Linked DNA regions of Arabidopsis thaliana. The protein of the gene in region 2 interacts with the protein of the main gene of each other region in a pairwise test. Each region holds a gene or a part of one and is shown on either strand. Other genes may lie near its edges. The genes, in order: MUB5, UBC9, MUB6 and MUB2.

Region 1 (5,522 bases), on a different chromosome or scaffold from region 2:
AATATTCTCTATATATTTAAAAAGAGAAAAAAAAAACTAAAAAATCCGGAAAAAAATAGTTTATTTTTTATGATGTTTAATATCCAATTACTTTTTGGTTGAAAGAAAAATATATATAGTAATTAAAGTGTGCGATTTAATAGCTAAGAAATAAAATACAGTTATTTTTGTACTCATAATTTCATAACAAAAAACAAATTTCAATTTTACCTTTACAAATGAATTAACTATTAATTTTTAAATGATATAAAAAATTTTAGTAACATATTAAATTTAATAAAACTCTTTGGAAGTGAATTAAGAGAGTGGGCTTGAAATCACCAAAAAAAAAAAAGAGAGTGGGCTTGAATCAGTTAAAAGGCCCATTGAGAACCATCAGAATCCCCGAAATCTCGTTCTTCTCCAATTGTTTTTTTTTTCGTAAAAAGGCTTACGATTTAAATTAAATAAAAGAAAAGAATACAGGCCCAGCCCAATAGCATTTTACTGACCCAAATTGTTGAGATTAGCGAAATAGAAAAAAGCATTTGTCGGAGAAGAAGAACTGTGTTGGTCGGTGACTGCCAGAGGATCAAGTCGTCGGTGAAGATGAGGAAGAAGAAGAAGAAGATTGTGTTGAGTAGCACATCTGAAGCTGAAAAGGTTAGTATACCATATCTCCCAGACGATCTACTCTTGAATTGCTTAGCACGCATCTCTAGATTGTACTACCCAACTCTCTCGTTAGTCTCCAAGAGATTCCGCTCTCTTCTCGCTTCCACAGAGCTCTACGAGACCCGACGGCTTTTAGGTACCTCCGAGAGTTGTCTCTATTTCTTTATGACTGAGAGGCGCAACGACCATGAGGTTTATGGGAAAGTTGAGTGGTGTCATGTTGTGCATACGTTGCCCCTATTCAATTTGTCTCGAGCACTATCTTGTTACCACTGTTTGAGTCATTGCTTCCTCATGATCATATATATCATTTTGTTTTCTATATGATGTAGGATTTATGGTTTGAATATGATTGCATAATGCATACAATCGTTTCGAGAACTTGCCATAGCCAATTCTTGATTACATCATGTTGATTTACTGACTTGTGGTTACTAGTTTAACTAGGCTGGAAAAAACAGAGAATTAGGCACTTGAAGGACAAAAGCAAAAAAGGGGTCATTTTCAGAACTAGTCATCCATAATAAACTTAGTGTACTATATAGTCATCCATAATAATCTTAGTGTACTATATAGGTTGATTGAAAGCAACTCATGTTATATCATATTGTCATGTCATACCATCATTTTCCTCACCCATTAACTGATAGTGGACCTACTCTCCATCTTAAGGCCATAAAATGGTGTCCCTTTCTAATCAAAACTTACCCTACAACCTTCCACAATGCATGTGCTGATTTAGTAGATCTGTATAGTCAGACCAAGCTTCCAGATAAATATGCTTAAAGAAAAACACAGTAATTATTTTATCATCACTCAGTTTCTGAAACTCTTGCAGCTCTTTCTTGAAGCAAACATTGTGATGATGAAGTATAGAGCCATAAACAATCTAATTGAGGAAATGCTCAAGCTTGTGTGAAGATGTAGTGATCACAACAGATAAAAGTTGGAGCATTTGTTACTATGTGGATGGATATACATCTCTAAGTAAATATTGTAGTGCTCTAAAGTTATATATAACTAGTTATCTTCTTGTGTTATAACAGGTCCTTTCAAGCAACTCATATTTGCTTTTCACTCATATGAACAAATTTTTACATAATACCTCAATCTTCAACAACACAGTAATTTTTCTTAAGCCATTTTTGATAAACAATGAAGAAGAAAAGGAAGGAAGAAAAACCAAAATCATTCTGGTAATGAAGATCCATGTTGAAGACTTTAAGATATGGAAAGTTTTTTCCAATGGAATAAATTGTATAAAGGATCAAAAATCTCTAAGTGGAGCTACAAAATGCAGCATACACAGTGACTCTTCCTTGGAGGATCATTCTGCAGTTTCTCTGAAGAAACAAAAGAAAACATAAAAACAAAGCTTTGAGATATACAAAATACACACAAAAACACTCAAGAATTGAAGAGAAAATGTATAGAAATTACCTTTTTTCTTCTCAAAGAGAGGAGGACGAAGAACAACATGCATTGTAGTTACAATTCCAGGAAGTTCACCAATAGTTATTAAGGACCTTGCTTCAGAAAGTGTTTTGTTGTTCTCAAGTATCTTCCCACCATTGATGAGCTTAACCTCATTTATCATCTTTGGTGCGTTTTCTTTGTCTGTCCACAACAAGATTTTCAACTTCACCTTTAAACAAATAGCAAAACTTTTGAGAAGAAACATAGAAAATGATTTACCTTTAGGCCATTGAGCAATGATTTTCTCCTTGAGAGATGCAACAGTCATGAATTGACTATATTTGCTTGGACCAATGTCGGTACCATCTGCGAGTCTGAACTTCAATTCTATTAAATCTTCATCTCCCATCTTTAAATTATTACCTCAAGAAAAGATCTCTAGAAAGAAGAAAAGCAGAGAGTTCCGTTGTCTTTGAGCAGAGCCAAATTTAGAAAATAACAATAATTGGGTCTCTTACTCTCTTTCTCAACTTATATAATAACTACCAGAAATCTCAAGATACAGTCATCTCTCCATTTACATTTATACAAATCTGAATTTACCTTTTTGGTTGACTATATACGATAAATTTGCAACGTATATTTAGCATACTAAGTACTAACTATAAATGATTTGGATTATATGATGATATATTAACATAAGCTTTTATGATCACTTGTCATATTAGACGCCAACCAAAACCAACCGTCACGAATACATGAATCATTCCTTGCGTACATTCCACAAACACGATACATTCTTTGCTTGAAAATAGTAATTAATAATGGCTTAATGATACTAATCTTTTTATATGTTCACTGAATCTTTTTTTAATAAAAATAAAATACAGAATCAAATGCGTTGAAAAAATTAATCCAGCTATATCTTTTAAAATTTTGATTTGAGTTTAATACAAATGATAATGACGTGTATAGTAAGCGGTACACGCGCTCTAAATCAATTCCGAACCGGATCGTGAAACGGTTAGCGTTCGGTTTGCTCTCCAATAACATTTTCCCGCCAATTTCTACAAAGTATAAAACAACCCATTCGTCATCATCCCCTAATTTCTCGCTCACCTTCAACAATGGAGGTTCCTACAGAGTCAAAGACGACGCAGATCGATGAAATCTCTCACAATCTCTCGTTTACCACTTCTAACGCCGGCGATTCTAGCTGGGACAAGATCTCATTCTTCCGTCACCGTTCACGGCAAATCAAACGAGACACTTGGCTTGTCTCCGTCTTCGTTCTTCTTCAGATCGTCCTCTTCGCTGTAACTATGGGCGTCAACGATTGCTCCGGGAACTCTCACGGTCACTGCTCCGCTAAACTCCTTGGCCGATTCTCTTTCCAGTCTCTCTCCGAGAATCCTATGCTTGGTCCCTCCGCCTCAACGTAAGTAGCTCTCTCCGGCGGATTTCGCTTTTGGTCTCTGCTTGTAACTGATTTTGGAATCGATCTCTAATTGAATTGTTAGATCCTTTAGAGATGGATTTTGGATGCTTCGTTGCTTAGACCTGTAATTTTGGATGTTTCATTCTGCTCATCTTTTGGATCGGTAACGATAGGTTGCTGAAGTTTGTTGGATTTGGATGATACTAGTTTCCAAGATTGATGAGTTTCAGCTGATTCATAGTGTCTCAATCTCTGATTACAGTGACAACCGACAAGTTCTTGTTTACAATTCTGTGTTGTTCTAGTGTGTGTGTGTGTTTATTTGTGTGGCTCTTGGTGCTACATTCTGTTGATGAAGCAATCTAATTCAAGTGGTGGTTCTTGTGAGAGCTCTATGTTTCAGAAAATTAAGGGAAATAGGGGTAACTTGAGCTATCAAATGACTGATTATAAGCTATGGACTACTTATTTTCTTGTGAGTTTGCAGGTTAGAGCATATGGGAGGTCTTTCTTGGAAAGCTCTGACGGAGAATCATGAGATTTGGCGTATTTTGACATCTCCATGGCTGCACAGTGGATTATTTCATCTATTCATAAATCTTGGGAGTTTGATTTTCGTAGGGATATACATGGAGCAACAGTTTGGACCATGTAATTTAGACTACTTGACTTTTGATTAGTCTGTTTTGGATGGAATCTATCACCTTTCTAATCCACCTTTCTTCTGCTTTTGCTTTGGTTTTGTAGTGAGGATTGCAGTCATATACTTCCTCTCTGGCATTATGGGTAGTCTGTTTGCTGTGTTGTTTGTTCGGAACATCCCATCAATCTCTTCTGGTGCTGCTTTCTTTGGGTTGATTGGAGCCATGCTTTCTGCACTTGCAAAGAACTGGAATCTATATAACAGCAAGGTCAAGGATTTCTTGTGGTTCTGTTTTGTCTCTTGTTATCTTCTTCTCATAGCTTTTCTGATTGTATTTTCTTTTGCTTGGTACAGATTTCAGCCTTGGCGATAATATTCACTATCTTCACTGTGAATTTCCTGATAGGCTTTCTCCCTTTCATAGACAACTTTGCAAATATTGGTGGTTTCATATCAGGATTCCTCCTTGGATTTGTGCTATTGTTCAAACCACAACTGAGACAGATGCCTCCATCTCATAAGGGGAAATTGTTTGAAGATGATATGAACAGATCCACAAGGCTTAAAGAACAGTTTGACAGACCGGTATTAAGGATTATATGCCTGCTCGTGTTTTGTGGAATGTGAGAATTTACCTCAAATCTCTTTTTGGTCTAGTTTTTTTTGTTTTATCTACGCTCTTGTGACATGAAAAAGCTTTCCATCTCTGTTTAGACTTGCCGGGGTTCTATTAGCAGCATGCTGGGGAGTCAATCTCAACCGTCATTGCCATTGGTGTCGCTATGTTGACTGTGTTCCAACCAAAAAATGGAGCTGCAGCGACATGACTACTTCCTGCGAGGTATATTCATCTAAACCATAACCTTTGTTGTGACCCTGAAACTAGAATCTGAGTCTATATATATGCAAATTCTGAGTCTGATTAGTGATTACAACATTGTAAAAAACTATATGTGAATACGACAGGCAATGGTGAGTGATGCTCAGCTAACACTAACGTGCATGGCAAATGGAAAGTTCAGGATATTTCCTTTCACCAATATCTCACAAGCCAGGACAGAAGACCTCTGCACACTCGTATGCTCTTAAAGATGACCAAGGCTTCAACTCCTTCATAGATCTAATATACTCACTCCCACACTTGAATAATTGCATATACCAAAATCACAAATCTCGTAAGATTCTTTGGTCAATTCTGGTAACTTTTGTTTGTAGCCTATAGCCTTAACGGATAAGTGGTAAATGTTTTGTAATGAGACTAATGTTTTGGTTCTATGAATGTAAATACTAAAGTCTACGAAGTTTGGTCCCATATGAGAGGACCCAGTAGCCACATTAGTTTCTTACACAATCCACATCATATCTACGCAC
Region 2 (6,391 bases):
CGATCATTTGAGCTAAGCTCTACCTTACTAGCGTTGATAGGAATAACATGTTAAATGAACCAAAAGGAAACTAAAAGTTAAACCAATTTGTTTAGGATCTGGTGCAAGACAAATTGTCTGGTTCGGAGAGTTTGATTTTCACGGTGAAAATTTCACCGAAACCTTTTAGTACCATGACTCATGGCACATGAATCGTGACTCCTCTTCTTACCTCCACTTGTCTTGACTCTTGAGACCGCTGAAGTGTCCACTGTAATTTTAAGTTTTATTCAACGCAAAAGGTTTTGTTTAAGAGATTTGATTCACGGCAATATTAACATTAGTGACTGGTCATTAATGCCATTTAGTGGAGGCCACCAAAGGTTACGATTCTCTAATTTACTAAAGACAAAACAGGGGATCTCTAAGATCAGGCTGTAACTAAGTTATTTTCTTCAGTTCTAATTTAAATATTTAATAAAAACCTGGCGTTAACCATGCTCTCTTGGGCACGACCTCTCTCTTTATCATAATTAATAAACTTTTTTTTTTTAAGTTATGGAGACTTTGAACATAGATTAAAAGTAGTCCAGTCACTGACAGAGTGACATTGTATAAGTTTTCGGGGGTATTGAAGGGATATTTAGTAAGTAAACCCTTCGGTCGTTAGACATAAAAATTAGAAAATTTATGGTGACTCTTAGAAAGTACTATATTCTGTAATAGAGAACGGTCCATGCTCGAATAGATCGTGTAATGGTTATTTGGGTTGCACTTTAACAAAAACAATGGTTTTAATTTGGGTTGCAACGGGTGTTAGTCTGCCTTTAATTCTGGAAAGCTGATATTCTGATTTCTTACAATAATTTTCGTATTTTTAGTACATGAAACATTGCCGTTGGTGGGTTAATGTAATTGATATATTCTTAGTGGGATTAGACGTGAATCTTTTCTTTTTGTGTAATAGTACTACTCAAATTTGTGAGATAGTTTTTAGAAAATCTGTTGAATCATGTAAAAGGTCGAAACTAGTTGAAAGACAAATGGTAAGATAACTTATAACTCTAGTTTTAACGGCTTTAGCTGGTTGGAAACAGAAAGTTTTACTGCTTTCGTTCTTTCTAATATGTTTAGAGATCATTAAATTTCGTACGTATGAGTATTCATATACGAATATAATTGGTTTATGTAGAAGTGTAGAACACAGTAATGTAGTGTTATGCTGTTAGGTTTTACTATATAAACAATTTCTATTCATGATACTATATACCATGCATACATATCTATTACAATTACAGATTTAACATAGAACTATTATGAAGTAAAAGACAAGATTATTCAATGCAACTGCTAACCCACACTAAGACCATATATGATGCTGAGTTTACATGTGCATCTAGTGACTAGTGGTAGTTTAAATGCTTTAGAAGGAAAAGTATACCATTCGGTTCTAATAGTATAATTTATTTACAAGTTTTATCAGTAGTAGTGCTCGAGTAGTGAAAACACACATTTAAAAACTTATTCGAATGGACTTGGAAGCCTCGGTAAACCCAAAACTCAAAATATATAGAAATACAAGTGTTGGAGTTTCGAGAAAGAAAATAAACTTTGATTTGAATCTTAAGATAAAGAGTTTTAAAGATTAACATGAATTGATCAAGCGTCCACTAGCACTTTCATTAAGCAAAATATGCATTCATAACATTTTTTTTTTATAAATCGTCAACAAACTAACGTGAAATTATAAAATCATAACCTTAATCTCAACATAATAAGCCCTGATTACTGCTTTAAACCTCGCCAACCTCATAAGCTCCCAACCTTAACAACAACATGTGTCCATCGAAGAGGAATCTAATTCGTGGGATAAACATTATGTTAAAATATACTATACTCCATCACTGAAACAGAACCTTGAACACAAAAGTGTCATAATAGTTGGGTTATACCATAAAAAAGTAACCGTTTTTTCAAGGTCTTTATACCATAATGTTTAGTAGCACTAATGGCTAAACCCGTTTGAGTATATTATTTGGGGAAAAGGTGATTTTAATAGTTTTACTATTTTTTGTAAATCTTAAATTGGTCAAACTTCAAAGTGATAATTCCTTTGTCCCATTTTATTAAATTGTTCCAGATGGATCACAATCACAATCTTAACTCATGAACAACTTCACTCTTAGGCCCCATACACCATTTACATAAATCATTGCCCACATAATACTAAAATGAAAATGTTACGTATGTAAGTTAATAATGTTTACGAAAACGGAAAGGCTTACGATTGTAGCTAGTTTGGGCTTTGGACAGAATAAAATCCAAAATAATATGAGCCTTGATAAACACAGAGACGCATCGGCATCACGCAATAAAGAAACAGCAGACGGGATGATGATTTACGTTTTACAATTCCATAGAATGGAGATCAAATAATTTCTTACTGATCCTGTCTTCACAAATTTTATAAGACAGACAAGTCTATAAAAGATCATTACATAGAAATAAGAAGAGTTTAATTATTAGGGCTCTTCCTTAAGGACAGTATTTGTGTCAGCCCATGGCATACTTTTGGGTCCAGGTCCGAGCAGTGGACTCGTACTTGTTCTTGTCTGTCTTGTACATGTGAGCTATCTCAGGGACCAAAGGATCATCTGGGTTTGGATCCGTTAACAAAGAACAGATCGATAGCAGCACCTGTTGCACCACACAAAATTGATGTCACCTGGAGAGCAAAGCTGCAAAATTATGGTTCTAATATGATAAAGATGAGGAAGAACAAAAGAAAACCTTGGAAATTGTGAGAGCAGGACTCCACTGCTCCTTCAAGATGTCGAGGCAGATGCTTCCATTGCTGTTAATGTTTGGATGGAACACCTTCGTCCTAAAAGCCACCTACATTTTTTGTAACAACATACATAGAGAGCAATGAAATCAAGAACACAGAGAAAAGAACAATAGATAAACGATGGAAGATATTAGCAACAGAAAAATGATGGCCGAAGTAAAGTTGGAAAAAAAATTCAAAGAAGAAGAAGCAGCTGTAGAGATTTGAATATACCTTAGGAGGCTTAAATGGGTAATCTGGAGGGAAATGGATGGTTACAAGAAAAACTCCTCCAGAATAAGGGCTATCCGATGGACCCATTATAGTGGCCTGCCAATGAAACATGTCTTCCGCAACGGGTCCTGTCAACATTTAACCAAAACTTCAATACCAAACCAGAAAAGCAACAACATGCATATAAGAAGAAGTTGGTAAAAGGGGCAAAATTAGAAGAGAACAACAGAGTTATAATCCTAAGATCTCATCCAAGGAAATCAAAAAATGAAACCAGATCTATCAACGAGCAAACAAGTTTGAACATTGACCTTTATGATTCATTCCTAGAAAAATCACAAACAAGTGTTACCATGAAGTATGCAAATTTCTGTTATTAGCAGCTGAATTACCTAAAAATCAAGGATAATTAGATCTAAGCTAACGAGAGATCAATATCAAACCGTCGCACACATAAAAAACCAGCTCAAAAGAAGATCAAAACCAACGACCCATCATTATCCAGCAAGAGGAACATAATTATTGAATCAAAGTTGATAAATCGACTAAAAGAATAGGTACCTGCGCTACATGAAGTAGGAGGATCCTTCTGCAGATCCTTCAATTCCTTCAAAATCCGTTTCGATGCCATTTCCAAAATCCCACGATCCAAATTCCAATTGAAGACTCTGCAATCGAAAACCAATCCAATGGTCAGATGAATTAAGAAGAAGAAAAACATAACCCAGAAAATTATATATAAAGACGGGAAGAAGATCCAAAATCATAACTCCGAATTCACGTTTTTGGTTTTGGTTCTTCGAATTTAGGAGAAGAAAGGGTGGTGAAACGGAAGAGAAGAAGAAGTTGAAAATGTTGTGTGGTCGCGACCACAATAAATAGGGTGCGGGTAAATTCTGGTTCGTTTGATTAGTGGACTCTGCTGCTTTATTCTTTCAGATTCGTTCGTTTTAAATAATGTCAAACTTTTTTTTGGGTGGGCCTAACTCAGCGTTGTACCTACGGCACATATAAAATAACGCGGTTGTTCGTATCATCATCATGTGGCGCCGATGTTTTCCAATCCCGTCGAAGCGTCGTCGTTTAAGTGGTTTAGTCAAAAGTCGTATGATCCGACGGCTGAGAGTTTTGTAGAACGAATCATTTGACGTAATTTGAATGAATTTACCATGCTTTCAAGATTGACCAGCGGTTGATGAAGGATGTTTTTTTTCAAAAACGTGATGTGTAGGAAATTATTACATTGTTTTTACTGTCATATGTCATATGTGACAAGACGATTCGTTTTGGTGACAAAGTATAAAGATGGAGGATGAATTAACATAACAGTGACATTAAGATATATTCGACAAATTAGATGTTAAGCTAGACATTATTTCCACGAAATATGATCTAACTTGTTAAGACAAATTGTGAAGGTTGCGGTTGGTGTGACTAAGTTTGCCTATAACTCAAATAGTTTTTACTTGAATTGAATCAAACAATACTATAATAACTAAATCTAACGAAAGAATAAGCCAAAGTGATTATAGTTTTTATATTTTTGCTGAAATGAAGAAGTAATTTATCATGATCAGTAAAAAGAATGGTATGCAACTAAAATTTACCAAAATAATTAAGATTTTCGCTAATTTATTATTATTAGCACTGCTATAGTGTTGTACATGAGAAGTTAATTAACAAAGATCATGAATTTTCATCACATTTTTTTTTTTTGTTAATTTGAATTCTGAACCGTGGAACTATCTACATTTACTAAAGGAGGAGATTCTAAATCTATTTGATTATCTTCCGGATCCAAAATCTTGGGACATCTCTCATTATTTCCATAACTTTCTTTTGTGAGATGTTTGAACCATCTCTTCTGCTTCGGTTGTTCTGCACTTATGGCAATGACAACGTCATTGGGGAAGAGATCACGTTGGACAAAAGCATGCATCACCGTCAACCCAAGCACAGCTATCACCGTCAGAGTTGCTGCTCCCGACATCACAACCGATAGTATCTTCGTTGCCACTCCCGTGACTTCGTCTGAATATTTGATCGTCGCACTGGCCACTGCCGTCATTGGAAACGTGTAAGCCCACCAAGCTAGCGAGAATCTGATATTTTTTGAATAATTATGTCAGATAACATGTATGTTATTTGGTTTGGTAAATTAGATCCTTGCAGTTCAAGAAACAGCTTACTTGAATCCCCGGAAAAGGTTAATCCGACAAACCTGAAACAAGAATCACAAGAAGTAAAGCTGTTACATTTCTTGTACCACAAGAAACTCAGCACTAGCTCACTAGAACTCTGTTAATGAAAACAAAAACTACCAGAGAGAAGTACAAGAACAAGGAGATGAAGTATGCTAGACGCGAACCGAGATCGAAAGAGGCAGAGATCTTGGTCCAGGCCATGGAAGCGACGGCTGGTGCAGCCACAAAGAGGAAGAAAACAGGGTGAAGCTCTTTAGGTAAGGTTTCATTCGTGGGAAGTCTCTGATAGAGAGTCACAAATAAAACCAAATAATAAGCCAACCCTATGGCAAAGAAGAATATTGGTCCTTCTTTCAACCCCATGGATGCTCCTAGAAGTGCTCCTGCAAAGTTACCGACAATGGAAAGGTGGTTTGTAGGGTTGGCGACTTTGGAGAGGCGTCTTTGTCCACCAGACATCCACTGTCCGTAAATCTTCATCTCAAGAAACAAGATGGGAGCCATAAGGAAGTACCAAAGTGTAGAGGGAAGATGTGAGATGATAGAGTGTGGGATTCCAAGTGCCAAGAAGAGGATTGATATAAGAGGAGCGAAGAAGAAGTTGACTCGGATCGGATGCCGAAACTCACGGCGAACCGCCTCAAAGAAGAGGATGGTTTTGAAGAGGTAAGTGATAGAAACGGCGAGGAGGAGAAGGAGAGAGATCCACCAGAGCACGTGGTTGATCACTTGAGTCACGTGCAAGAACTTCTCTGCCTCTGTGGTTGCTAAGGTCTTCCACATGATGGCTTGACTACTTACTCCAAGACACATCCCATATGATGTGATTGGAAACCGTAGAAGAAACGGCCACGTTTTGTCCTCAGGCAGAACTATCTTCTCCTTCTCCTGTCATCCACCAATAAACCCATAAATAGAAGTAACCAAACACAAGTATAACTCAACCATATGAGCAAAAATGAATGATAAAATACCTTGAGAGTTTCAAGCTCGGGGCCTTGAAGAGCATCAAAGTATCTATCAGCGGTTAAAGATTCAGTAATCTCTTTATGATCCTGCAACGAACTCTCAGTGGGTTTCCCACGTAAATTCGATATCTGACGTTCGAGTTTCCCGGACATGGTCCTGAATAGGTCATACCTCTTGT
Region 3 (5,643 bases), on a different chromosome or scaffold from region 2:
TGTATTGATCCTACAGTGCGGATCATCAGTCCCAGGTCGATAATTCAGGTAACCCTCAGTTAGATTGCGTTTGCATTAGCATTTATTTGGAAGTTAAGAATATTCAAGTTCATGGTATCATAGAAGTTAAAACGAGTTCTGTTCCAACCCTAAACTTCTGCTGCATCTTCTTTATGAAATGTTATGCAAAACTAGTTTACGTGATTTAATCAAGCTGGTAATGACTAGGCTACTACGTATGTCGATGTTTTCTGTAAATAGTTCTCTAGTTAGATATTAAGGATGTTATTTCCTGTGCTCGACGGGTAAAAAAAGGTGCTATAAGGAATTTCTTATTTTAATGTATGTTCATCAGGGTACTATTCAATCGAGCAGTGTAAATGGAAACAGAGACCAATTACCTTCCGGAGAAGCAATGGCGCTGGACAAACGTGAAGAAAGCCTAGCTTTGATCAATGATAAATTCAGGGCAGAGACTTTAAGGTCTAGCATGGATCACCTAAACGATGAGGTAATACTGGATTAAGGGTTAAAATTACTAGTTAAATTAATTGGAAATGTTAATATCAGTGACTTAGTTTGGATTGGATGGCAATTCTGAATTACAATATCTACATGATGGTAATTATCTACAGAAAGATTTTGCCTAGCGTCATTGGGTCTTTTTTCTGTCTTCTTTACAGCTAGAACGGATGAAGAATGAGAATCTACTTGAACCTCAAGATGATAATGATTCAGACACCAGATTTCCGGGTTTGGAACAGGAGCTGATGCAGTTGCGTCAGGTGCTGATGTTTACCTTTTAGAGATTGTAATGAATTGAAGCATAAGTGTCTGTAGAAGTCTTATGATCTTGTTTTCGACAGGCAAAGGAAGAACTTCAGAGTATCTTCCCTCTATCTCAAGAGAATTTCAGTTGCGGAAACGCATTGGAAAGGGTTCTTGCACTGGAAATAGAACTCGCTGAAGCATTGCGTGGAAAGAAAAAATCAACCACCCATTTCCAGAGGTACACGATTCAAAAATTCTGCTATTAATTTTCGCCTTTGTAACTATACTAGACCACGTTGAACTTATTATTCCTTTTTGCCTGAAATTGCAGCTCTTTCTTGAAGCAACACACCGATGACGAAGCAATCTTCCAGAGTTTCAGAGACATAAACAATCTAATTGAAGAAATGTTGGATACCAAAGGCCGGTATTCGTCTATGGAGACAGAGCTTAGGGAAATGCATGACCGTTATTCTCAGCTAAGCCTCAAGTTTGCAGAGGTTGAAGGAGAGAGACAAAAGCTGATGATGACTCTGAAGAACGTTAGGGCATCAAAGAAGGCTATGCTCTTGAACCGTTCATCATCAGCAACTCTTGGTGAACATTAATGCACAGATGTTACTTACCATGTATATAAAGTTCCAAGAATGTTGAAGAAGTCCAAGTTCCAAGAGTGGTCTCGAGTTATAGATAGCTTAATATAATTGTTGTTTATTCGAGTCTCAAGATATGGGGTTTTTAAAGTGATGTGTTCTCTGTGTTGTATAGAAACCCCATATTCTTTAATTCAAAAAATGAGAAGTTTAGTTGAGAATAAGAACATACATAAGGACAATACCATTCTTGTTATTTACTGTTGTATTGAACATATTGTATATATTTATAAAAGAACCAACCTTCAAGAATCATAGTACATTTTCTCAAGCCATTTTGATTTTTAAAAAATAATAATTAAAAACCACACACATGGAACCAAATTCTGTAATGAAGATCTTTTGTTTTCATGCCTATGCCAATCATTCTGTACTGAAGGAACTTCTCAAAGCTTGTTTGATGCCATGGAAGTTGTTCCGTGGAGCATCATCTAGTGCCATGATCATGACGGATATAAATCTCTATGATCCAATTTACTTGCAGCTACAAAATGGTGCACACGCAGCGATTCTTCATCGGTGGATCATTCTGCAGTTTTTCTGTGGAACAGAAAATTTTCATATAATGAGATGATATGAACATGATCTCAAAGCCATAGTTAACGAGTACAGAATTCAAGGGAACATGTTGTTACACTGCGATAAACAGTATAACAAGGTAGAGAAAATTACCGCTCTTTTTGTCTAACGTAGGAAGGCGAAGAACAATATGCATAGTAATGATCATTCCAGGAAGTTCACAAACAGGAAGCCTGGATTCAGCAAGTGTCCTATTGTTCTCCAGTATTTTCCCGGCATTGATGAGCTTCATATCATTTACAGTTTTTGGAGTATTTTCTTTATCTGTGAAACAGAGAAACATTGAAAATGCAATTATAAAACAACCTTAAGTAGAGAAAGTAAATGCAACATAAGATTCAATAAGGCCAAGAAACACCAAACACCTAAACCAAAAAAATCCAGGCAAAAACAATACAATTTGAGACATCAATCTTATACTAGTTTTAGCCAAAATCAGTAACTAGAGTGATCTTAACACAACAACAACTAAACCTTTCACACTATAAAACTATAATTATCTATTAAAGCCTCATACTTTACAAAGTTCAACACCTAGACTAGCCCAAAAAAGTTCATCATACATTCAAATCATTGCAGAAAGAAGACAAATTTAATACAATCAAACCCAATGGAGAGTAAAAAGAAATACATGAAGCAATGAATCAAATGAGACTCAACCATCAAAACCGTGAAAAGCTGTAGAAAGAAGCAAAAGCATAACTATAAGTATAAAATACCTTTAGGCCATTGAGAAATGAGTTTCTCTTTAAGAGAAGAAACAGTCATAGATTGATTATACTTGCTTGGACCTATGTCTGTACCATCTGCTAGTCTAAACTTTAGTTCTATCCAATCTTCTTCACCTGCCATCTCTTTTCAATTTCCCCCAGAAAACAAAAAACCCCAACAACAAAAAAAATCTCTAAAAAGAGAAACTTCAAAATTCTTCTCTGGAGAAAATCATCGAACACTTTTGCAGGATTATTCACCAACCCAATTACAAAAACCCAAAAAAGAAAGAAAAAAACAACACAAACCCAAATCAATTCTCGTGGAAAGAAATTTAGGAAGAAGAAAAGAGAGACACTTTGGTTTTGGTTACAAAGGCTGTCTTTGAGCAGACATAACACAAATTGGGAAACTTTCAGATTCTTTTTTATTTTCGTAATCCTACCTGAATCCTCAATTTGACGTTTTTACCCCTACACAATATCATCAATAAAGCTGACTTTTGATTATTTAGTGACTTACTAATCAAAAATATAGACTTGTGAATTAACTTTAGATTGTTCGATAGTGATATTGTATTAGTCAAAAACTCTGGCCATGTTGTACAATATCAATATTGAACAAGTGGATTTCAATAATTTTGATTCCTATTAAGTGGGTATTGATACTTTCCCTTTTGATATTGAACTCTTTAACAACCATTAATTTCTTTTAATTAAAGAAATTTATTTCTTGTGTTTTGGATTCCTCTATTATTTTATAGGATTCTTGTTTTAATATGTTGGCATATATGCCAAAATTATATGGTAAGAGGGGCATTTCTGGAATTTAGGATTAGCATAAACACACAAAGAAACATATTGTAATTTCGAATGTGTTAGAAAATGGCAGCCACCAACTATATAAGCCTAACTACTTTAACTAATTAAAGATTGTGTTTAATTACACAAATCGATTATTTTCCGTGGGGTTTTAAGACATGAGGAACAATCTAGTGAGTAATCTTGATTGGTAATTAAATGAAATAATTGAAATTTTGGTCTAATTAATGCTTTAACATTTGGATTCGATTTGGTTCGAAAGAAAAAATGTTACCGAGGTATAACTAAAATTCCTTCACTTTCAAGTAATGAATCTAATTGTATACACCAACTTACAAGTAAAACATTCGAAGAAAAAAAAATAGATATAATCGGTTTTTGTTCAAGTGGAAATCATTTAAAATGAGAATTAGTTTGGTTCCAAATGGTTGAAATTCAAATGTTCAAGTTCAACCATAAAAAATTTCCTCCTAAACACCAACCAAATATTATTATGAAGAAAAATTCGTTCGTGCATGCCACAAAAAGAACCGATACACCCTTTGGATGGAATAATTAACAGGCTAGTGATACTTTGATATTCATGAAAAGAAGACTATTTCCTTCACATCAGATTAAAGTACTAAAACAAATGTCAAAAATTAATCATAGAATAGATTCGTTGAAATAAATCAAAAGCAACAACTTTCATATAAAAATCAAAGAAGATAAAAAGAAAAGAGGTGAAGTGTGAAATGAGAATCTAGAAACGGTTTGCTTTATGAGCATATGATTCGTTCTAAATTCTTAAGGCATCAATTATACATATCATTCTTGTCTTCTTACTTTCTTTAGGTCCACCATTGTAGTCGAAGCAAGAAACTAATCAAGAGAGCTACATAATTCAGTGCAAGGAAGAGAGATTCTAAACCGAACCGAATATTTCCGGTTTAGATTCAATTCAAGAAATGTGATCCCTGGTTGAGATGGATTAACCAAAAAAGGAGGAAGTTTCAATACCTTTTTGTGTTAGACTGTTTTAATTGCCTGAATCACATACACACCATAAGTTGCAAATTTTACCTGAAACTTTATTTCTTTTACAAGTTTCTCTATTACCAACTACAGAAATATGTATGCAGAAGCATACTGATGTTACATATTCAGAACTTCTGCAATTGTACTGCTAGGTAATGTACTGCTATAGTATATTTGCGCATGTCAAAAATTTCGATACAACAGTCGCATTATTATATATTTGTCACACAACATTTTATTACTCAAGCTTACTTTGGCAGCCAAATGCCAGAAGAATATATCATCGAAGAATTAGACGATAAAATCTTTGGGAGAACATCTCATAAGCTTCATGTTTTTGCTTCTGGCTGTACACAGAGATTCTTAATGGCCCACGAGAAATGGGCAAAGCTTCTGATGACTTTATATATCTATAACTTGGCAGCTAACAAGTTCAGCAGCACCAAAGTCCTTGGTTGCAATGAGTTTCCATGTAACAGTGTCTGACTTGTTAGGTGCATTGGTCTTTAAGTGTGGGATTGAAACAGAACTGGAGCTAGATGATGATGAGGAGACTGGGATGTTGGGGACATCAGCTCGTAAGACTGTAACGTTATGATTAGGGTCTCTAGTAATGAAATGAAGCTTGCCATGAAACCCAGCAAGCAAATAAGGAGATTCTGAATCTGTTAAGTCATACACAGGGACTTCCCCAATAACAACCTTCCAAGTATCTTCCTTTTGATCATACACTTTAATCTTTCCGTTCTCCATCGAAGAAGAAGGATCAAAAGCGTATAACTCACCATCCACCACAACACTCAGTTTTGTACCTGCTTGCCTCGCAGGCCAACCTTCACCCATACCAGACGGCATTTCAACCCAGAGATTTGTCTCGGGATCATAAACCTCTCCTCCAACATCAACAAAGAAAGGCCAAGAGTATAAACTCTGAGGAACACATAACCTACCGTTGTAGCAAGTCATTCCTGTGGCAATAGGCTTTAGTAAGTCAGCCAAAAACGCATTTGGCAACACTTGCGCCTTTGAGAAAGGCATGCTCGGAACCTCTGACCAAGCATCCGTGCTTGGATCATAAACCTCAGCTGACT
Region 4 (6,647 bases), on a different chromosome or scaffold from region 2:
GCTGTACTACCTTAATTGTTAGGTGTACATATACTTTTCACCATCTATTTCTCACTTTTCCATATCAATGCATTTTGTTGGATTGTGGAGCTGAATGACAAATTTTGTTGAATTCCTTTTTTTTTTGTGTGTTAAGATTTCTCTGCATTACTAGATTTGAACCAAATTATATGTCTTTAGGGTCTTTTTCCCTCTACATTTATCTTTATGCTGTGTGTTCATGTGTTGAGGTTTTCCATTCAAGATCGGTGTTAATTTCAATTGAATGATCAGCTTCCATGTATCTCCCCAGTGCTCTTGTGACCCTCTCATTAAAGTTTCTCCCCCTTTGCTTCTTACTTTCAGATTGTTTAGGGAGGCGGATAGGTCCACGTCTTCTTGGTAGGGTAGATGATTCAGAGGTGAGTGGTTTCTTTCGTCGGCTAATTTTCAGTATCTTTTCATATTGTGAATTTATTTATCTCATGTTTCTCTTGCTACAGAGACTAGCTAGAGACTTTTATAAAATTCTAAACGAAGTAAGCACTCAAGAAATTCCAGATGGTTTGAAGCTTCCAAATTCTTTTAGTCAACTTGTTTCCGATATGAAGAATAACCACTATGATGCAAAAACATTTGCTCTTGTGCTGCGAGCCATGGTACGCTTTGTCTAATCTGAAATTATTTCTGATCCTACATATTATATACTTGCATCAAAAGGACATTTGTTTTTGTTTAGTTAGAAAATATTTTGCATCTATCTGTGGCTCTTGCAATTGTCAAGTTGGTTTCTTTTCTTTTTTATTTGCATTTGGAAGAGATCTTTGTTAATTCTTGTTGCTCTCTAAAGTGAGCCATATCAATGGGAAGATTATCATATGTGATATATCTCTATCTTGTCTTGAACAGATGGAGAAGTTTGAACGTGATATGAGGGAATCGAAATTTGCAGAACTTATGAACAAGCACTTTGCAGCAAGTTCCATTCCCAAAGGCATTCATTGTCTCTCTCTAAGACTGACAGATGAATATTCCTCCAATGCTCATGCTCGAAGACAGCTTCCTTCACCAGAGTTTCTCCCTGTTCTTTCAGATAATGCTTACCACCACTTTATTTTGTCCACGGACAATATTTTGGCTGCCTCAGTTGTGGTCTCATCCGCTGTTCAGTCATCTTCAAAACCCGAGAAAATTGTCTTTCACATCATTACAGACAAGAAAACCTATGCGGGTATGCATTCATGGTTTGCGCTTAATTCTGTTGCACCAGCAATTGTTGAGGTTAAAGGTGTTCATCAGTTTGACTGGTTGACGAGAGAGAATGTTCCGGTTTTGGAAGCTGTGGAAAGCCATAATGGTGTCAGGGACTATTATCATGGGAATCATGTCGCTGGGGCAAACCTCACCGAAACAACTCCTCGAACATTTGCTTCAAAATTGCAGTCTAGAAGTCCAAAATACATATCTTTGCTCAACCATCTTAGAATATATATACCAGAGGTAAATCTTTATCCCCTAGTTTGAACTTGCAATAGAACTCATGGGGATTCTAAATCATTTGCCAATTTCGTCTCTTTTTTTGGAATAGCTTTTCCCGAACTTGGACAAGGTGGTTTTCTTAGACGATGATATAGTTGTCCAGGGAGACTTAACTCCACTTTGGGATGTTGACCTCGGTGGTAAGGTCAATGGGGCAGTAGAGACTTGCAGGGGTGAAGATGAATGGGTGATGTCAAAGCGTTTAAGGAACTACTTCAATTTCTCTCACCCGCTCATCGCAAAGCATTTAGATCCTGAAGAATGTGCTTGGGCATATGGTATGAATATCTTCGATCTACAAGCTTGGAGGAAAACAAATATCAGAGAAACGTATCACTCTTGGCTTAGAGAGGTAACTCTATCGAATAAGCTTACACTTTTTTGTTTTTCTTTAGCAGAATCTAAAGTTACCTCTCTAATCTACTCTGTTTACTTTTGCTTTGGAACAGAATCTAAAGTCAAATCTGACAATGTGGAAACTTGGAACCTTGCCTCCTGCTCTTATCGCGTTCAAGGGTCACGTACACATAATAGACTCGTCATGGCATATGCTAGGATTAGGCTACCAGAGCAAGACCAACATAGAAAATGTGAAGAAAGCAGCAGTGATCCACTACAATGGGCAGTCAAAGCCATGGCTGGAGATTGGTTTCGAGCATCTGCGGCCATTCTGGACCAAATACGTCAACTACTCAAATGATTTCATCAAGAACTGTCACATATTGGAGTAGGAAAACCGAAACTTTGAGATGATCATGAAGGTAAGAGTTACAGGTGTATGATCATGAAGGTAGTTACAGGTGTAAAAGAGGAGAAGTAGTAAAAAAGACAAGGCAGTCTGCAGATATTACACTCAGTCTAAAGAAGGAAGAATCAGAAATTTAGTTTGCCACATACATAAGAGAAACTTGGTTGCAGCGAAGGGAAGGTTGCATAAGAGAAAGAGAGAGAGAGAGATAAAGATTCATTCTTTCTGTAAAATAGAAGGTTACCCTTTTTTTGAAATTCTTTTGGAGAATCCAATTCTTGAATCTTTTTATAAGAATGGGGAAAGAAAGATTGGGTTTATAATTCTTTTTTGGTTATTAAGAGAGAGAGGGAGAGGTTATGACCAGAAAAGCCAGTTGTTGATAAATTGAGGAACACACTTATACACTTGTTTTGTTGCTATTTGCTCCACATTTCTTATTAATATCATCATTTCAGTTCCTAATCTTTTCGAGCTGTGATTTTGAATGTAATCTCTACAAAGATCGTTGATGATTAACCAAACAAACAAAAATCTCCAATAGCTTTTGAATGTACAAATAAAAATGAGATCATATCAATGTACAGAGAGCATTTGGTAATATAATTATTATTTTTAAAAGGAATTTAAAAGGTAGAGCATTTTAATTGGCGTAGAGATGGGAAGAAGAAGAAGAAGAACAAGGACATAAAAAGGATTTGGGGAACATTTTGGCTGCAATTTATTCTCAAACCTTATGAGTGAGATCTCTCTTAATCATTCTCTCTTTCTTCTCTCCTCTGTGATGTGAGGTTTCGAAGATCCTTCTCTGATTCCTCATCAAACTCAGATCAGTAGCGGACCCAAGTAAGAACACCTAATTAGGGTTTCTTTTTGTTCGTGTTCCATCGGTTAATCTAATACCAGATTGAGTTCCATTGGTACTTTTGTTGTTCCTTTCGGAGATAATACGATTCATGATCGATCATATTTTCAAGGAATGATCTTTGCTATTCTTAGGATTCATATTATTTGATCAATGCGTTTCTTATATTCATTTTCACCATTCAGGATCATCTACCAATCCATAAGTTTCATTAGGGTTCACATTGAGACTTGAGCTAGAGAAAACATGTTTTTGTAGCTGCTTGAGAATTTGTTCTTGTGTGAAACAATTGGTTCCTTGTTTTTGATTTATTGCAGATAGGATCAAAGCAAACGAGGTTTCAATTTAGAGTTTTTTAAAGCTCAAATCTCGGTTGCTTCGGTTGAACTTCTTGATACACTGTCTCGTTTTGAGTTCTTGTTAGGTCATTCCTTTAGAGAGATATATGGCAGAGGTGAAGGATCAATTAGAGATTAAGTTCCGGCTTAACGATGGTTCTGATATCGGTCCTAAATTGTTTCCTGATGCTACTACCGTTGCTACATTGAAAGAAACCGTTGTTGCTCAGTGGCCAAGAGGTCAGTGTCTATGCTCTTACTCTGCTTTACATGTATTGATGATATTCATTTATGCAATGAGATAAAGCCGCGTTAAGCTTTATCGGTCTGGCGATTTCTCCATGACTAGAATGGTTTAGACTTTAGAATTGCATTGTAAAGAAACTTTCATATTTAGCCTTTTGTTAGGTTCAGAAACTCATTGCCCTCTTTATTGATCCTTGAGAAACTGGTTACAAAGATAAATCAATGACCAAACGTAAGAAGAGACTGAAACAGAATTAGAGCAAACGAGAGAGTAATTTCTGTACAACTCTTCTTTCTCCCCAATGCCCCCAAATTATCTAGACCAATCAGCTTCTTAAACCTTCAGCTCTCAACTAACCGATGAGGTCTATTACTGAGCTGGCAAAGCTACACTTCCCTGCATCACCCCTAGGCTAGTTACATTAGTCCTGCACTGCACTGGACTTAACAAGAACGCCTTCTCGCTTCTCCATGAGGACCTGCATTGGTTTTTCGCCTATATCTGTGATAATATCAAAACCTGATTGTGAGTCATTGGTGTTATGGTTTTGCTTGTTTGTATAATTTTGAGCAGCTAAGGAGAATGTGGCAAAGACACTGAAAGATATGAAATTGATTAACCCTTTATGGTTTTGCTTGTTTGTATGAATGTGAGCAGATAAGGAGAACGGGCCAAAGACAGTGAAAGATGTTAAACTGATAAGCGCGGGTAGAATATTGGAGAACAACAAAACGGTTGGAGATTGCAGGAGTCCCGTCGGCAATTTCTCAGGTGCTGTCACCACAATGCATGTTATAATTCAACATCAAGTTACTGAAAAAGGTAATCTTTAGATTCTTAAGCATTGTTCATAGTATATACTGTTTGAAAACCTCATCTGTTAAGGTTATGCATTTGTATGAGAATCTGAAGATCATTTGCTTTGCTAATGGTTTAAAACAGAAAAGAAGAAGAAGAAGCCTAAAGGTGATCTGAAACAGAACAAATGTGTCTGTTTATGTTTTGGAGCTCGTTGTTAACAATTGTGCAAGACAAGTAGAGAGAGTTAAAAAAGCTTGGGAGATTCACATTCTGTTCTTGAGCCTTCTTCAATACCTTTTGCTCTTGTTCCTTGTAATTCTTTTTTCTGACATGACATGACATGATTGGCTTTTTGATCGCTTGAGGTTTGGTTTCTATTGTATTTCGGATTCGCAACACCGTGGAAATTATTAGGTAACAAACAAATTTGCACGGAATAAAGTGAATCATCACGAAATATAACTTGACATAATTTCCGTGGTTAACAATGTTTGGTTTCTGTTAACAGTCGTAGTGGGCCAATCTCGTTATCAACGGCCCAAAATTCGGGAAACTATATATTAATTATTATTTTCTGCTATATTTTTGGACGGTTCATATTAATTCTACTTCGAAAAATCCTAAGTTTTCTGAGAGTGAACACGTGTCAGAAGAAGGTCTCAGTAGTAAGTACATCCCGATGGTTCACGAAGACTCCGGCGTCGTTTAGCAACTTCTTCTTCTTCTTTATTAGTTTTCTACTTCACCTTTTCTCTTGGTTCTCGCTAAAACTACACGAGAAAGCAAAAGCGTTTCTCTTTGCTGATTTCTTAAGTAAACATCTCGCCGTTTTGGTGGATTTGTGCTAAACTACCTGTTGTATTTGATCTTCCTTTTTCAATTGCTTGCTGTTCTTAAATTTCCGAGCTAATGGCGACGGCTACGACGACTGCTACGGCGGCGTTTAGTGGTGTAGTCAGTGTAGGAACGGAGACTCGAAGGATTTATTCGTTTTCTCATCTTCAACCTTCTGCGGCTTTTCCGGCGAAGCCTAGTTCCTTCAAATCTCTCAAATTAAAGCAGAGCGCGAGGCTCACACGGCGGCTTGATCATCGGCCGTTCGTTGTCCGATGTGAAGCTTCTTCTTCTAATGGAAGGGTAAAGTCTGAAACTTTAGGATTTTTAAGTAATCACAAATCTGGAATTGACACTGGAAGGATTTTACTGTACTGGATTGCTAATTTGGGTTTGATGTTTGTATAGCTTACACAGCAAGAATTCACAGAAATGGCGTGGCAATCGATAGTTTCGTCACCAGATGTTGCAAAAGAGAATAAGCAACAGATTGTGGAGACAGAGCATCTAATGAAAGCTCTTTTGGAGCAGAAGAATGGTTTAGCTCGTAGGATTTTCTCTAAGATCGGTGTGGATAACACAAAGGTTCTAGAAGCAACAGAGAAGTTCATTCAACGCCAACCAAAGGTAATGTAATGTCTTTAAGGGTTTGATATTTGTTGTTTCTTTGTTTGTGAGGCTAATGAAAATTAAGTTTGTGATTTCAGGTGTATGGAGATGCTGCTGGTTCGATGTTGGGGCGTGATTTGGAAGCTCTGTTCCAGAGAGCAAGACAGTTTAAGAAAGATTTAAAGGACTCTTATGTGTCAGTGGAGCATTTGGTTCTTGCTTTTGCTGATGATAAGCGGTTTGGGAAACAGTTGTTTAAGGATTTTCAGATATCAGAGAGGAGCTTGAAATCTGCAATTGAATCCATTAGAGGGAAACAATCAGTCATTGACCAAGGTTAGTAACCACATTTGAGGTTGATAGTTTATAATTTGATTGCATAATTTAGTGGATAAGAGAGTTAATGATCATGTTTGACAGATCCGGAAGGCAAGTATGAGGCGTTGGAGAAGTATGGAAAAGACTTGACAGCAATGGCAAGAGAGGGAAAACTAGATCCTGTGATAGGTAGAGATGACGAGATCCGAAGATGCATTCAGATTCTCTCAAGGAGAACAAAGAACAACCCTGTGTTGATCGGTGAACCAGGTGTTGGTAAAACTGCAATTTCAGAAGGGTAAGTTATCATCAAAAGATTCAGAAGTTGCACATATGTGTATGTAATGCTAAGATATTGCATCTCCACTT

The links.
Region 1: the proteins of UBC9 (region 2) and MUB5 interact in a two-hybrid assay, tested with the Arabidopsis thaliana proteins (one study listed by BioGRID).
Region 3: the proteins of UBC9 (region 2) and MUB6 interact in a two-hybrid assay, tested with the Arabidopsis thaliana proteins (one study listed by BioGRID).
Region 4: the proteins of UBC9 (region 2) and MUB2 interact in a two-hybrid assay, tested with the Arabidopsis thaliana proteins (one study listed by BioGRID).

The regions. Positions count from the first base shown.
Region 1 is NC_003070.9:29,282,134-29,287,655, reverse strand, and holds MUB5 (membrane-anchored ubiquitin-fold protein 5 precursor), read right to left. Parts: upstream 2,694-5,522; 5' UTR 2,480-2,693; coding exon 2,350-2,479; intron 2,272-2,349; coding exon 2,095-2,271; intron 1,998-2,094; coding exon 1,942-1,997; 3' UTR 1,574-1,941; coding exon of another isoform or gene 1,493-1,573; 3' UTR 1,316-1,492; downstream 1-1,315. Other genes in the region: AT1G77880 (Galactose oxidase/kelch repeat superfamily protein), read left to right, coding at 589-981; KOM (Rhomboid-related intramembrane serine protease family protein), read left to right, coding at 3,198-3,508, 3,996-4,159, 4,256-4,419, 4,506-4,774, 4,866-4,992, 5,118-5,240. UniProt on the Arabidopsis thaliana protein: May serve as docking site to facilitate the association of other proteins to the plasma membrane.
Region 2 is NC_003075.7:13,913,533-13,919,923, forward strand, and holds UBC9 (ubiquitin conjugating enzyme 9), read right to left. Parts: upstream 3,969-6,391; 5' UTR 3,762-3,968; coding exon 3,602-3,761; intron 3,169-3,601; coding exon 3,041-3,168; intron 2,875-3,040; coding exon 2,770-2,874; intron 2,677-2,769; coding exon 2,533-2,676; 3' UTR 1,999-2,532; downstream 1-1,998. Other genes in the region: SLAH2 (SLAC1 homologue 2), read right to left, coding at 4,758-5,142, 5,230-5,261, 5,362-6,132, 6,219-6,391. UniProt on the Arabidopsis thaliana protein: Accepts the ubiquitin-like protein SUMO/SMT3 from the E1 complex and catalyzes its covalent attachment to other proteins. Mediates the selective degradation of short-lived and abnormal proteins.
Region 3 is NC_003070.9:7,769,109-7,774,751, reverse strand, and holds MUB6 (membrane-anchored ubiquitin-fold protein 6 precursor), read right to left. Parts: upstream 3,094-5,643; 5' UTR 2,856-3,093; coding exon 2,723-2,855; intron 2,620-2,722; exon of another isoform or gene 2,268-2,619; coding exon 2,097-2,267; intron 1,965-2,096; coding exon 1,909-1,964; 3' UTR 1,598-1,908; downstream 1-1,597. Other genes in the region: AT1G22060 (sporulation-specific protein), read left to right, coding at 1-48, 356-511, 684-785, 867-1,009, 1,103-1,379; AT1G22040 (Galactose oxidase/kelch repeat superfamily protein), read right to left, coding at 4,955-5,643. UniProt on the Arabidopsis thaliana protein: May serve as docking site to facilitate the association of other proteins to the plasma membrane.
Region 4 is NC_003076.8:5,017,035-5,023,681, reverse strand, and holds MUB2 (membrane-anchored ubiquitin-fold protein 2), read left to right. Parts: upstream 1-2,755; 5' UTR 2,756-3,112; exon of another isoform or gene 3,113-3,448; 5' UTR 3,449-3,576; coding exon 3,577-3,709; intron 3,710-3,911; exon of another isoform or gene 3,912-4,186; coding exon of another isoform or gene 4,187-4,241; intron 4,242-4,373; coding exon 4,374-4,538; intron 4,539-4,658; coding exon 4,659-4,735; 3' UTR 4,736-5,002; downstream 5,003-6,647. Other genes in the region: GAUT14 (galacturonosyltransferase 14), read left to right, coding at 346-401, 483-638, 889-1,479, 1,568-1,870, 1,968-2,249; CLPB3 (casein lytic proteinase B3), read left to right, coding at 5,427-5,654, 5,760-5,978, 6,059-6,296, 6,381-6,576. UniProt on the Arabidopsis thaliana protein: May serve as docking site to facilitate the association of other proteins to the plasma membrane.